Astyanax mexicanus: one gene and its partner. The protein of the gene in region 2 purifies or fractionates together with the protein of the main gene of each other region. This does not show direct contact. Links are inferred from orthologs where the notes say so. Each region holds a gene or a part of one and is shown on either strand. Other genes may lie near its edges.

What was found.
Region 1: the proteins of depdc5 (region 2) and wdr24 purify together in Homo sapiens (affinity purification with western blotting; 4 studies listed by BioGRID and IntAct, with this or other methods). This does not show direct contact. The link is inferred for Astyanax mexicanus from reciprocal best matches to the Homo sapiens genes DEPDC5 and WDR24.

What each region holds. Positions count from the first base shown.
Region 1 is NC_064413.1:14,967,801-14,975,321, reverse strand, and holds the start of wdr24 (GATOR complex protein WDR24), read right to left. Parts: upstream 3,005-7,521; 5' UTR 2,967-3,004; intron 2,954-2,966; exon of another isoform or gene 2,805-2,953; intron 496-2,804; 5' UTR 350-495; intron 1-349. Other genes in the region: uncharacterized protein zgc:112496, read left to right, coding at 4,524-4,663, 4,846-4,939. UniProt on the Homo sapiens protein: Catalytic component of the GATOR2 complex, a multiprotein complex that acts as an activator of the amino acid-sensing branch of the mTORC1 signaling pathway. The GATOR2 complex indirectly activates mTORC1 through the inhibition of the GATOR1 subcomplex.
Region 2 is NC_064427.1:19,700,053-19,707,763, forward strand, and holds the start of depdc5 (GATOR complex protein DEPDC5), read right to left. Parts: upstream 3,034-7,711; 5' UTR 2,872-3,033; intron 426-2,871; exon of another isoform or gene 114-425; intron 1-113. UniProt on the Homo sapiens protein: As a component of the GATOR1 complex functions as an inhibitor of the amino acid-sensing branch of the mTORC1 pathway.

The sequences.
Region 1 (7,521 bases), on a different chromosome or scaffold from region 2:
TGGGCCTTCTCAAGACGTTTCCTGATGTAACACTTTAGGATTTCCACACTGCTATGACTTTTATGAATGAAACAATTTCAGTCTAGCAGTGAAAACATTAAAACAGTTTATAAAATATGGTGATATGCAGCTTGTGCTATGCTCTATAACTGTATGTTATGTGTTTATTAGGTCCACATGGAAAAATGATGACAACACTATTTAGCCTATTAAGTATTTAACCAAGAACAATTTGTATTTTTTTCCCTTGCATTTAGTTTAATTTATAGATTTATTCACAAGCTTTTTCTACTGAGAATTTTAACTGAACATTTAAACATCTGATATTTTATAAGCCTTTGTTACCCACCTCTGCTTTAATGAACACAGCACTAGTGACCTGTAGTTACTGTATAGTTCATCACTGGAAGTTTATCCGGTTCACCATGTCTCCTCATGTCAACACAAGGCACGGGCACCTCAGTCCCCTGCACGTGCCCCATGCAAAACAGTGATCTGTTAAAGGCAAAGAGAGAGACAGAAATGTATATGTATTTTTTTTTTTTTATCACTACTATTTTTGTCACTTCTATTCAAATATTATAGCGAGTATTGCCATTTTTGCTGTTAGTGTAGAGGGTGAGAGACATACAAATGGAGAATAGTTTAGCTGCTTTGATTTTTTAGTATTCGCCTGTAATGAAATTTCAGCAACCAACCATGGTCAGTGCGGGACCATGATAATTTATTCTTGTGTCGGTTACATAATCTCTATTAACGTGTTGTAGTGGGTGACAAATTAAAGGAAAACCCTTAGAAAATAAGTGTAGATTATTCCATAAACTACAGCAAGTTTGAAAAGGGGGTTCATTGTTGAGCAGCAGAGAGCACAGAGAGGCAGTTTATTCACCAATAAATAAATAAAATAGCATAAATGTATTTTAACTTGCTAGTCTTTGGCATTTTCAGCTAATTAATGTCAGTTGATAAATAATTGGTGCATCCATAATGGAATACATTAAGAAAACAATGCAGGTCAGGAGGCTTTACCCCTATACTGTGAGAGGGTCAGGTGGCTCTATTTTGCAGTAGGGGCATCTTGCTAGAATGGCTTGGGTCCACTTGCCCTCTCAAAGGGAAGATAGGTCGCTGTGAATCAAACTATAAGTCATTTTGACATATCACTTTTGTCCTGTTTAAAATAATTGCTATATTGGTTGGAGAGTTGCTTCCAGGATGCCTTTGTTACCTTTCACAGGGAACTTAGTTTAGTTTAGTTATATTTTATCCACTCCTAAATGTTCCTTTGGTAATTTTTTTGAACAAAGCAAATTTAGCATGTAAAAAACTGATTAAAAGTGATTTGATGCCATCCTCAAGTCCTTAAAAGTTTTTAGTTTGTTTGAAAACAACATGAATGACTTATGTTTGTTTCCACTGTTTTGTTACCAAAAGAGTAGTCCAAGTTTGTCAAAGGCAAAGAGCAGAGTACCGTATGAACATTTCCACTATTCCCAGTTGCATTAAAAAGAAATTGTCAAAACAAAAAACCTGTAAAATATTTTAAAAAACATGTTGCATGCTTATAGCATATAGTTGCATCTATATGTACCCACTAAACCACATTAAATGTGTATTTGCTTATAATATAGTAAGAATTTGTCACCATTAAGATACATTACATATTTGTGTTTAATATTTCCACCTATATTTGGTATATAAACAACATATTCTGAAATACATTCATGCATTTTTACAATGTAATGCAATGCAGTTTATCTGTGTTTTTATGCAGTAAAAATTTGTTTTTAGGTACTTTTTTTTTTAGTTTTTCACTATTAGAGAATAGTTTAATAGTTGCAATCTTGTCTATAGTGCCCCTAAAGTTTTAAGGTACAAAAATAATATTTAGAGGCCTAAAATGTTCCCTTGTGTAATAAAACATGGCCAGAATTAAATAACTTTATTATTTTCAGTTTAATAAAATAGTGCCTCTAATAAAAAAAAAAACACTCCATCAATTAAACAAAATATTCCCAAAATGTAACCAATCATTCTCTAAATAAAAAAAACAATTACTGCATCTAATAAATAATTTCTTAGATTTAATAAAATAATACACAGATTTGATAAATATGTTTTTCATTAACAGATTAAATGTGTTCCTTTAAAGTAATGAAACATACCATCCCTGCTTAGAATTTCCTTCCTGTCCCTCCTGCCCCACCCCTAAACCTACACATCACCCAGTGTTACTCCCAAACTACCCCTCTCATTTATTTATTTATTTAGCATTTTTCAAGTCTGAGCTGTGGGGGGATTCAGCTAATACCAGGGGGTTTAGTTACTCTTTAGTTAACTCCTAACCAGCACAGAGTATGTTTTCTCTGGATTACTAGCTGGATTTTTTTAACAGGGATGTAATGAATCATTCCCTCAATGTAATAAACCGTTCCAATGATGTAATAAAATATCATAAACAATAAAAAAAAACTTATAAAAAGAGAATTATGTAACGTTAATTAATATTTTTTCGGCGTTAATAAATAATTAACTGCGTTTAATAAATCGTTAGGTAAGTGTAAGGTAAGTGTAAGTTAAGTGAATCGTGGTCTTTGAATTTCTGCTATTTGTAAACACGGGTCTGTTGGTCCATGTGCTCTTTTTTAGTAAACAGGAGATTTCCGATAAGAGCTCTCAGACTGAACACATTCCCTCACAGTGCTGTGGAACAAAGTGAGTGCAGAGCTGCTCTAATCTGCTGCAGGAAACTGGAGAAATTAATAATAATCAGTTTTAGAAGAAGTAAAAACAGATCCCTGAACCTCTCTCTGCTGCTCCTCCGCCGCTGCAGTAACTCAACCTGCCGCTCCGGCTCTGTATCTCTGTGTGTGTCTGCTCTTCTCGGCTGGTGTTGATTCTGTTTTATACAGCGATAATAATAATAACGATAATAAAAATGAGTTAAAAAAAATCCCATAACTGACCTTTCAAAACAAACCTGCAGGAGAAAGAGGAACCGGATGTGGAGCATTCACTTCCGCTTTGGTGCAGCACGCGCGTGTGTGTTTTTAGTTACAGAATTTAAAAGTGGATTTCTCGGGGTTCTCTGCTTTTTACACGAGAGGAAATACTATCAGCAATTTAATACATCTAATAATCCCATACTGTTAGTATTTCTTATTATCTAGGTGAATATAGGGAGTCTAAGGTATGTATTACCGACTAAAAGCCCATTCTGAGTAAATGTAGTTTTAATAGAAATTGAATGTAGTTTACTTTGCTGTATATAGTACTGTGGAGTTATTAATCTTTATTGTTTTAATAATTAAATATCGTTTTTAACTATGTCCTCTACTGAAATAAAACAGTGGAATAGATCAGAAAGTAGAGCTGCAGGGCTTTACTGTGGCTGTAATTCACACTTGTTGCAATGTATTAAGACAAAATTGAAGGTGACTTTTATTACTGCAGGTTAAATAAGCTACACGGACTAGTAAAACAGGCGGGGCGCGTTTCATTTCTGTTTTAACGCCCTTCTGCACTTCTGCACTCTAAATTCAAATTAAGCTGATATATATATATATATTTCTTTATTTAAGAAAATTATTTCATGTGTTCTCTTTAATTATTTTAAAACGAAATGTATTGAATACATTTTTATACACTGAGGGAAGATTTTAAGTCTCTAAATATATTTTTTGTACCTTGATACTTTGGGGTCTCTACACAAAACACTGTACTGACGTTTTTTAATGTAGAAGCAAACACCAGTAACATATTAATGGGCAAAATAAAGTTTTGATTAAAGTAGGGCTGAGTGATATTGTAAAACAATTGTAAAATATTGATTTTTTTTTAGTTCTTACTTAACTTTTTATATGTAAACAGGCTGTACCATTTAAAGTGATGTACAAGTTGTTGTTTCCTTTACATGTCATTGCCTTTTATTTATTTATTTTTCCAGAATAGTAAGCAGCCCCCTTTAACCTTACATAACCTCCTTGTATTTCAGTTTTTATTTTAGGAAAATAGTTCTTTATAGGTTTCAGACATAAGCAAATGTCTATCTACTGAGAACTGATTAATTCAGTTGATCAGTTTGATTTGATTAACCTTCCATCCTGTACTGTACCCTCCTCCTCTCTTGTACAGCAGATGGTCACTTGTATGACATAACTGATACAAGTCTGCTTTCTTATTGGATTTTTGGGAAGAAAAAAGTATGAATTGGAACAGTTTAGACAGAAAGTAATTACAGGGCTGTCTTTTTGACTTTTAATATTATTTCCTCAATTCAATTGTAGCTGAACACAAGCTGAAATTTAGTATTTGATTTTATTTTGACTTAGGAGATTACTTTATTGCATTGTCTAGAGTGTGGAATTAGAGTACTTTTCTACGTATTTGGTCAGACCAGCATAAAAATTGAGCTAATGATTAAAATAACATACATTTCATTTTTAGGCTTGTAATTTTACCTAAATCAGATATTTAAGCTAAATAAACTCTTTCTCTCTGTATTTCTCTATATGTCTGTTAGCATGTCTGGGGCTGAGCAGCTGTACACCTGTGAAGATCCGGCAGTGTGGACGCGTATTTACGGCAAATACTGGACTGTGGTGGAAGCAAAGTCTGCTGGAAAAGGGAAACGTTCGGGGAAGCTGTTGGCTTTAGACAAATGGTACGACAGACAGGTGCCATGAATGAAAAGCTATAGACACAGCTTCACAGTCTGATATAGTCTCTCATTTACACACATCAGTGCTTGACTGTACTAGGTTTGCCAGTATGCCACAAAACACACACACAGCATACAAGAACAGAAGCTCCCGAACATCTAATGTAATAACGTTTATTGTTTAGGTATCAGGAGGAGCTGCCAGCGATTATTTCAGATCGGACAGAGCCTTTTCTGACACACCCAGAACTGGTTAAACTCATGGAATGGAAACTCACTGTGAGTAAATACAGTAAGTGCACTTATACACATCCCAACACATTTTGATGCCCTTAAGCTGGAAGGCTTTGTTCACACTGCAGGGCAAATCTGTTGTTTTTAAATATGATTTTAAGACCACAATTTATGCCAAAAGATCTTAATACCTTTCAGCTGTGACCTAACGGTTAGAGAAGTTGGCTTGGGACTGAAATGCACTTCATCTCATTGAGAGGATATGAGGGTGGGGTAAGTGCAACAGCACTTTCTCAGGGTTTCTGCGTGTCCTTAAAAAGTCTTAAAAAGTCTTAAATAAAAATCTGGGTATTTAAATTGTCCTAAGTTTACTGTACATATGCTGTAGGTATTACATTTTTGGATAGTGCATTTAATGCCGGTGGAAAAACACAGTGGCCCATCGTAAACATCTAATCCAGGGAGAGAACTAAGGTTAGCGGAGAGCTAGCTAACATTAGTGGCGAGTTAGCTAACATACTAAATTTAGCGGCCAGCTAGCTAACATACTAACTTTAGCTAGCTTAAGCGAGCTAGCTAGAATTACCTGTAATAGATCTAAGGTTAGCAGAGAACTTTAGTGATGAGTTAGCTAACATTCTAACATTAGTGGCGAGTTAGCTAACACGCTAACTTTAGCGGCAAGCTAGCTAACATATTAACATTAGTGGCAAGCTAGCTAACATACTAACTTTAGCTAGCTTAAGAGAAATAGCTAACGTTACCAGGGAAAGAAGTAAGGTTAATGGAAAGCTAGCTAATATTAGCGGCGAGATAGCTAACATGCTAATGTTTGCAACAAGCAAATTAACGTTAGCAGTAAGCTAGCTAACATACTAACTTTAGCTAGCTTAAATGTGCTAGCTAGTGTTACCAGGGATACAACTAATGTTAGCGGAGAGCTAGCCAACGTTACCGGGGAGAAAGCTAAAGAAATTATGACTACGTTTTTGGGTCTTAAATTATATTTATTATGGTCTTAAAAATGTCTTAAAAAGCATTAGATTTGACTTTTAAAATGGTGCCCCGTTACTCCTTCAGCATTTACATTTACAACCACCAGTTGTGATGTAAACTCCATTCTTATATACAGTCTATACTTTCTTAACTTGCGTCAGTCCTCATCTCATTTACCAACGTAGATGTTTGTTAGCTGATGTAACAACGGGCATTTGGTATTATCTTCCACTTGTCTTAAGCTGTCCAAAGATGATGTGTTGGTGACAGTGTAAAAAATTGAGAAGGTTGGAATCACACAGAGCAAGCACATGATAGCGTTTATGAAATGTATGGTGATTCTACACTTTGCTTTTATTTAGAAATGATTAAAGGGGACATATTATGCAAATATGCTTTTATAATTCCATGTGGGTATCGACTATAAACCCCTATTGTCGAGACCTATCCCCTGTAAACCCTCCAAAATATACTTTTTTTTTTAATCAGTTAAAAGAGTTTGGTATTATGAATCATATTCTTCTATGAGCTGTTTGGGTGGTTTACTTATTGTGATGTCACAATAAAAAAAACATGCATAGGACCAACCTGCCCCCACCGCTTGCCTGTCAATCCCCACCACAGCCCCACCCAGTAGTTCAGTTGAAGATCCTCCATTCGGTCTGCTGGTTAAGAAACTCCGACCGTACACAGCATTACATTTCATCTGAAGGAGGGATCTGTATTGTGTTAGGGACTGAAATAGGTTTAATAACTCTGAAAGGACCTGCATTGTTTTGTGCAATGTCAAGTTACATTTTTTTTGCTGCTTGATACAAAAAAATGACCACTTTTAGTATTTTATCAGATGGTATCTACCAAATACTAGTTATGTTACTCCAATCATTAATGTACAGATTGTATTATTTATGTCATGACATAAATTGATTGATAACTATTGATTCATTGATTTCTGGCAAAATTTGGTGTTAGTCCTGTGTTTTTTATTTGTAGATTAATAATAAAGATATAAAACCTATTAGAGGGACATATAGAATTACATAATATACAAAAAAGTGTTCGTCGACCTAAACCTGAGATGTGTGATTTTGGATGATCTAGAGCTTCACAGTGTGAAGGAAAAGCAGCAACTATTCCAGGTGACTCTACCTTATGAAGCACCTGAGAAAATACCAATAGTGTGCAAATGTGGTACTTAGAAGAATGTAAAGCAAAAAAAAAAACATGTTCTGGTTTGTTATTTTGTTTTCAAAATAACTCAGCATGTGTAGCTTTAGTATCTTCAATATTAAATTGACCAAAAACAACAGTTTGAATAATAAGAGGTGTGTCCAAGCTTTTGACTGATACAATATATATAAAAGAACTTAAGCCACTGACATTCTTAAAGCATATTCTGACATAATGAACCGTAATTCCCTAAATTATGGAAATTTATTATTTTTTTTCCTCCATCATTCAGGGCATAACCGTTCCTGAAGAATGTGCATCAAGAAAGATGTTTTATTAATTAATTAATAATAAGCAAGATTTAAACTGCATGTCGGAACAAAGTCTATTGCTATGATAGTGTCATGATTGTGTCAGGAATGACTTTGTAAAGGTGGTGTGATATGGAATGATGATGCTGA
Region 2 (7,711 bases):
CTTTATTATTAGACTTATTAGTATTAGTGATGTAATTAGACCCAAGTAGTCCAACATATAAATAAAGAAAAAACCCACATTTGTAATACTTCTGTTTCACAATTATTCCACAGGTCCTGATATATTTTGGAGAAGTGGCTTGGTGGTAAAAGAATGCAGCACACTGATCCAACACTGGCAGAACTGACAACGTCTCTGCTGTTCAGAAGCTAAGATGCACAACACAAAGACGATGTTTATGCCTTTTTTTATTGATTAATACCCTATATTTGATACTTACAAGAAATCCAAAATTGAAAGTAATGTAATTAAATGTATTTTTGTAATTGTGGTATTGATTTCTTTATTGTGGTTTATTTATTTGTATTTGCAATTTGGAAATGTATGTTGTGATTTTAAAAATATAACTTATCTAAACAAGGAAACCAATTGGTCATTCATTATTAAGTGAAATGCCTTTTTAATTGCTCTTTAACAAAAAAAAGGTTTTATCCGATTACTCAATTAATCGAATCGATTTTTCAGTAGAGTACTCGATTACAAAAAGGATCGATAGCTGCAGCCCTAAATGTAATACAATCTAACTCAATGCTGATGCTGTATCTCAATTTAACCCAACTAAAGGACCTCAGGGTTTCCCCCAGGATTTCCTTGAAGGTGCGGTGGCAGGACCCCCCGGTTGGGAACCGATAATTTATATCACGTTAATGATATCACGATATAACACAATTACACATGTTTCCAGTTATTTTCTTTATTTCCAACTGTCACTGACAAATGCCCACTTAAAACAAAAAGTTGCAAAAAGTAGGTTTCTTTAAAATAATTCCATTTTGTCTCATTTTTCAGATACGGTAAACGTAAAAGTGTGCAACACAAAATGTTAAATTATACATAACAGAGGAGAAAGGGCACAACAGACATGTTATCTATACAGTATATCACCCAGCCACATTCAGTGGCACATCTGGCAGGCTGGCTCAGAGCATTTAATCCTCCTGGATTTTTTAAAGAACAGCTCAAAGGCCTTCTGGTATGGGAACTCAAGGACTGAAGGTCCATTAATACTGATGCGCATGCACGCAGCCAGGTGCTCCCCCTGTAGCCTGTTTCTCAGGTCTGTTTTCACCTATTATGAATACATACATGAAGGCTACATCAATGAAATGACTTTTTAATACCCTTTTCCAAAGAAAATTAAGACCAACTCGCAAGATCATATACGTTAAAATAAAAAAACTATTAATTGTTTACGTTTAATCTAGCTGCTTGAAAACTTCAAATGTGAATGCACAAGACACAATACGAGACACAAACATTACAATTTTCTCACTGTACAGTATACACAATTAAACTTTATACAAAACCAAATTCAATTTAATATATTTAATATATATGTATTATTTATTCGCTCTTATCTGTATTAGGTATTTTAAATGTGAGAATGAGTAAATAAAATAAAAAATATTATTGAATTTAATTAAAAATTGTGCTTATTAAAACAGACAAATAATATCTTTAATCTTTAATTTAATTACAATAAAATGTTTACTGGACCGTGAAAACAAATGCATCACAGAGCTGTTCTAGGGTGCCTCTATTCTAGGGCCCTACATCCTTGCTTTATGACAGCTCCAGAAACAGAAACATAGCGTGATTTTCACTCCACCAGGTGAGTGAGCCTGAGTGGACACCTGCGTAAGTTGAAGCTGTTTAATCACTGTTTAATTCATCTCTCTCTCTCGCGCGCGCATTATGTTTCAGTCTCTCTCTCTCTCTCTCTCTCTCTCTCTCTCTCGCATTATGTTTCAGTCTCTCTCTCTCGCTATTTACAGGCGCGCTCTCGCTCTCTCTCTCTCTCTCGCGTTATGTTTCAGTCTCTCTCTCTCGCTGTGTCCTATACTCACACTCTCTCTCTCGCGCGCGCGTTATGTTGGCACTGCATGACTAACTACCGATTTCCACCCCCGAAGTTCAACACATGGCTGACGGAATTATTCCCCCCTAAATTTAGCTCCGGCAAATTTAAGACATTTTGGTTGAAATTTTAAGACAAAATAAGACTTTTCAAGGCCTTATTTGACAAAAATGAAATTTAATACCATTTAAGACTTTTTAAGGACCCGCGGCCACCCTGCTACATGTGCAGGACTGGAACACAGCTGTGCGTTTAGGAATTACGGCTAGAGAAGCCCTCACCTGTAGCCTCCCGAAATAGATGCAACATGCGAAACCAGCCGTGTTGTGTAGGCTACGTCTACAACATATTACCGATATAACCCTTGAACAATGTTCAACAACTTGTTCACAAATATAAAAAAACATCATTTCAGCGCCACATACCTCGGATTCAGTTGTCCAGTTTGACAGCCGGTGTCCTGTCGAGATGATCAAATTCCAGTGTCAGAAACGAGAGAGGGCGGGGCAACGCTGATCAAGCGCGGGAAAAACGCCGGGCTCCGAATTTTCACGAAGGGTGGCGGGGAAGAACGAAGGCGTGGCGGACCGCCGCACTGAAATGAACGTGGCGGAAACCCTGGACCTTAAAACTATCCTTAAGTGAAAGTATGAGTACAATATCACAGTCTAATTCAGTTTAAGCACTGAGCTGTTCTTTAGTGAATATCATATCAGGTATCATATTATAGCTATGGAACAACTAAAGAACCAGTTTAAATAAGAGTATCAGCGCTTTACTCAACGCAGTGGTAGTTAAACATCATTATCTGTGGGGCTTAATTGTGTAAATAAGCTCGAAAATACAACATTTTCAGCTCTGATCTGACAGTGTAAACAGTATAAACAGGAGCTGTGGAGTCTTAGAGTGTTAGAGAGAGTGATACAGGCTGTTCACTCCGCTCTGTAACTCACCCACACTGCAGCTCACTGTCTCACTCTGTAACACCAACATCTTCTTAGTTCTCAGGTTCTCCGGTTTTAAAGGTTCTAAATGTTCTCTGTCCTGCTCGTTCCCCCATCACAACAACACACCCCGCTCTTCTTCTTCTTCTGCTGCTGCTGCTGTAGCTGCTGGAGAGCAGCGCTTCTGTAGAGCACAGCGCCCCCTACACACACCACCCAGCTATAGCAATATAACCACCTCCTTCATTCCACACACATCAGACGTCCCAAGTTGCAAAAGTTGATTTTAGGGAGGTTACACCCCCCGCCAAAAAAAAAAAAAAAAAAAAAAAAAAAAAAACTTGCACACACACCAAAGGATAACGAAACTTTACTTTTATGTTAATTAATTTTACATTAATTTTGAGTATTCAGAGGTGAAATTAGTTTTATCTTTTTTTCTTTTTGGAAGGCCCTGCCTCTGCTTTCCTTTTTTTTTTGGACAAAAATTGACAGTTACAATATCAAAAAAATTGCACAACATCAAAAACATTTCATATCATATTACAATAATTATTCATTTTTCCGGGAGGTGGGAAAAACACTGCCAGCCCACACTAAAAACTGATTGGCTGTCTCACAGACTCTTTGCAGAGAACAGGCCAATCAGAACCCTCTATGTTTTCTCTATCTCCTTCCCACACGCGATTAGAGAAAAAAAGTCTGTCGCCTGTGTGCGCGTTTGGGGCACTCGTTCTGAATTCCGGGAGATTATATGTGACTCGCGGCATCAGGGAGCCACTACCGAAATGCGGGAGACTCCCGCAGCTTCAGGGTTTGTCTGCACACATTATCATTATATTATCACCTCATCCAAACTCTGACAAAAAAAAACCATATGGATTTTTTTACTGAACGAAAAAAGTGTGTAATATGTTTTATATTTTATATTCTTTAGTTAACAGCTGTGCTGAACTCGTCAAGTTAATTACTTGAAATTTTTGTCTGAAATTGTATGCCCTTATACACAAAATGAGTGATAAAAAACAAGTAAAATTCATCTAGTAGTTATTTTACCTAAATGTATTTTTTTTCCATTCATACACAGCTTCCTTCAAATGTCTGTGATAAATGTAAGACTTTGGGCTAGGTCTGTATAATGTATGTAGCATCTGGGCAAAAAAAAATAATAATATAATTCCTTGTAAATCTTTGTTACATTCACATTTTTACTATGCAAACATGAATATGAACGCTTTAAAAAGTTATTGTAGATGATGTAAATGTAATTTTTTTTCCCTTGGGTCTGTAACTGTGCAGTATATGTTTTTATATTTACCAAGGCATTAGGGCTGGCCCGAATAGCGTTTTTTGAGCTCCGGATATTTGGCACTGATTCTAAGCGAATATTCGAATATTTGTTTTTTAAAAAAGAGGTAAAAAAAAAAAAAAAAAAAGCAAATCACGGCCCCTTTAATCCACTGAAAAATGTTCAATTTGCTCTGACCGACGAGACATATTCACCCCGGATTTTTGGTGTTTTTATCCTGGATTTTTGTGTTTTCACCCCATATTTTTTCTGTGTTTTTAGCCCAGATTTCTTTGTGTTTTCATCCCGGAATTTCTGCTGCCCCACATCGAGGCTGCTGCTGCACGGTTTCTCCGCTGCGCAAGCCAGCCCAGTAAATTGCTGTTTGTGTTTTCACACTTAGGCTATTTGCTTAAAAAAACAAACAAAAAAAAACGTTTGTTCAGGAAGTATTTTATATTCTTAAACATTGTTAATTATATTAGAGGACAGTCATTGTAAACTGTACTTGGTCTATTTCGGTTAAAGGATTGTGCAGGGCATATTACTGATTTTGTATTTTTGCACTTGGGCTATAAGCTCAATATTAAATATTTCGTTTGTTTAGAAATTATTTTATATTTTTAAACCATGTTAAATTATATTAGAGTAGAGGAAAGTCATTGTTAATGACGTTATTGTACTTGGTCTATTTCGGTTTAAGCATTGTGCAGGGCATAGCCGTATTACTGATTTTGTATTTTTGCACTAGGGCTATAAGCTCAATATTAAATATTTCGTTTGTTTAGAAATTATTTTATATTTTTAAACCATGTTAAATTATATTAGAGTAGAGGAAAGTCATTGTTAATGACGTTATTGTACTTGGTCTATTTCGGTTTAAGGAGGGCATAGCCGTATTACTGATTTTGTATTTTTGCACTTGGGCTATAAGCTCAATATTAAATATTTCGTTTGCTTAGAAATTATTTTACATTTTTAAACCATTTTAAATTATATTAGATAAGAGGAAATTCGTTCAGACATCATTTTTGTAGGCCAGGCTTTTGTAACCGATTTAGCCCCTACTGTTGCCACATTACCCCTTACGTTTTATTATATAAATCAGTTTCGAAGAGCCTGCATTTTTTTTTATCATGTATAATAGAGGTCTGCGCGAGACTGATTTTTAAACCCACTCTTCCACGCTCCCGCGTTTCTGTCTCGTTACCGCTCCGCAAAAAAATAGCTTCTTTTAATCCCGCGCCCGCCCGCCACATACACATTTCTGCCGCTCCCGCCCCACGTTCCTAATATAAATTAAATAAACTACATTTAATGCTTCAAATTTACTTATATATTTATTAAAACAGCAGCGCTGAATAGTGTGGTCCCGTTCCTTACCCCAGTCCAAACACCATCGGTGTGTGCGTGTGTGTGTCGGTCCATCCTGTGCGTTGAGAGTTTTCTTTAGGTTTTTTTTTTTACAATTATTACAGTTTTCTTAACTATTTATTAATTTGCTCCCGCATCGTCTGGATTAAACTCCCGCTCCAGCCAATAACAGTTCAGTTCTGTCCCGCGCGCAAGATATTCTGACGGGACCCGCGAGAACAGAAGTGGTTAGAGTGAGGTGGAACTCTGGAAAGGAGAAAAAAAACGAATATCCGAATACCAAAATTAAAAACCGAATACCTACTCAACGAACGAATATCCGAATACCCGAATATTCGGGTCCAGCCCTACAAGGCATACATGGTCCATGCATATATTGCCCTATATTAAACAATATATTTACTTTTTTCCATATATAAAAATGTATTATTTAATATATTGCACTATATTTTCCAATATATTGCCATATGTTATTGTTTCATAAGGGGGTAGAGTTGGTATACAGTGAAGTATTTAAGTAATGTTCTAATCTATAATAAAGAGCCACTAAACCCTACACCCTATTTTTTCATCAGTTGCTGAAATGTCAGACCTTCCAAGTCTCCTGGAAGTTGCGTGAGTAACACAAAAGTAACGCAATAGTTACTTTTACTGGTAACTAGTTACATTATAGTGGAGTAACTCAGTTAGTAACTCAGTGCCCTCAAGTCAGGCTGCACAGATTGTTTTTCCCCAATCGCATGTGTGAAAGAGAGGGAGAGGAAGAGACAGGTGCTTCCCTCATGTGCATATTCATGAAGCGCATGCGAAACAGAGAGGATTCTGATTGGTCTGATCTCTGGGGGGGTTGTCCAAGTCCGAGGGCATCTCCCTGATATTAGTTTTTGCAACTTGGGATGTCTGAAATGTGTTCCTTTAAAGTAATGATACATACCAGTCCTCTTGAAAAAAAAAGGTTTTATTGTGGTAATTTCTGCCTTTGCAGCGCCCTCTCAGGTTTAACTGTGCTATAGGTGTGGATGATGTCTCTGTGTACTGTGCAGATCAGTCTATCAAATATACCGTTCCCCTGATGATGACGTCCAACCATCTGCGTCCCACTGCTATCAGAGGCACACTGCTGCTGCTGCTGCAGCTCAGCCAATCGGCTTTCCCTCCAATCACAGCCCCTAAACCCATACATCACCCAGTGCCCCTTCCATTTATTAGCATTTTTCAAATTTAAGCTGAGGGCGGAGGCTAGAACTACTCAAATAAGTAAAATAAACAAATTACTTGAAAACAATTAAGGTCAGTCAATCCAAAAAAAAAAAAAAGAACTTTAAAAGTAGCTTCACTGCTATGATGAAACTGGCACTAATCATGACCGCACCAGGAAGTGATAGATAAGCAAGAGTTCCTTCTTTTGTACAGAAAAAGTTCATCAGAGCCTCAGAAACCGCAAGTTTACAAACAGCTCCCCAGATAAGAGCACCCAAATTCTTCACAGAGTATATTTTGGTTTGCTTAACACTTTTAAGATTCTACATGATTCCTTATGTAAGTTATGATAATGAACTGATTCATAATATTGATCCATATATACATACAGGTCCACATTTTTTGCACATTAATTCCAACAAAAACAACACAATAACCCAGATATGAAATTACAACACATATTTTAATGAATAATAATAATAAAAGTTTGTTTTAGAAAATTATAAAAACAAATCTGAATTATAAATGCAACTTGTACACATAGTAACTCATTTACAATTTGTTTCAGATAAAGGTTTAAAAAATACTGAATTTAATTTAAATTCCATTTGAGTTCTATTTTATCATTCGATTTTTTGATGCAGAGTCAGTTTCATACAATCCACTCAATCAGTTGTACCTTAAACATCATCATATTTATTAATTATTATAAAAAAACACTGACACCACAAAAATGTATATTTATATACATATATGGCATGTATATGTTAGTGGCAGTGATTAGAGAAGATCAATACTGAGGCAGTGAAACACCATCATCGTTCTTATTCAGTCTGTGGTCATTCTGGGCGGAGTCTCGGGTATCTTTCCTTTAATAAACTGCAGATAAAACACAGTTCTGACTCTTAAACACTGAAGCATATAAACCTTTCTTCTGTGGAACTTCTTCATGTTCTCCTCTGCTTCCTCCTCCTCTCACTGCGGGTT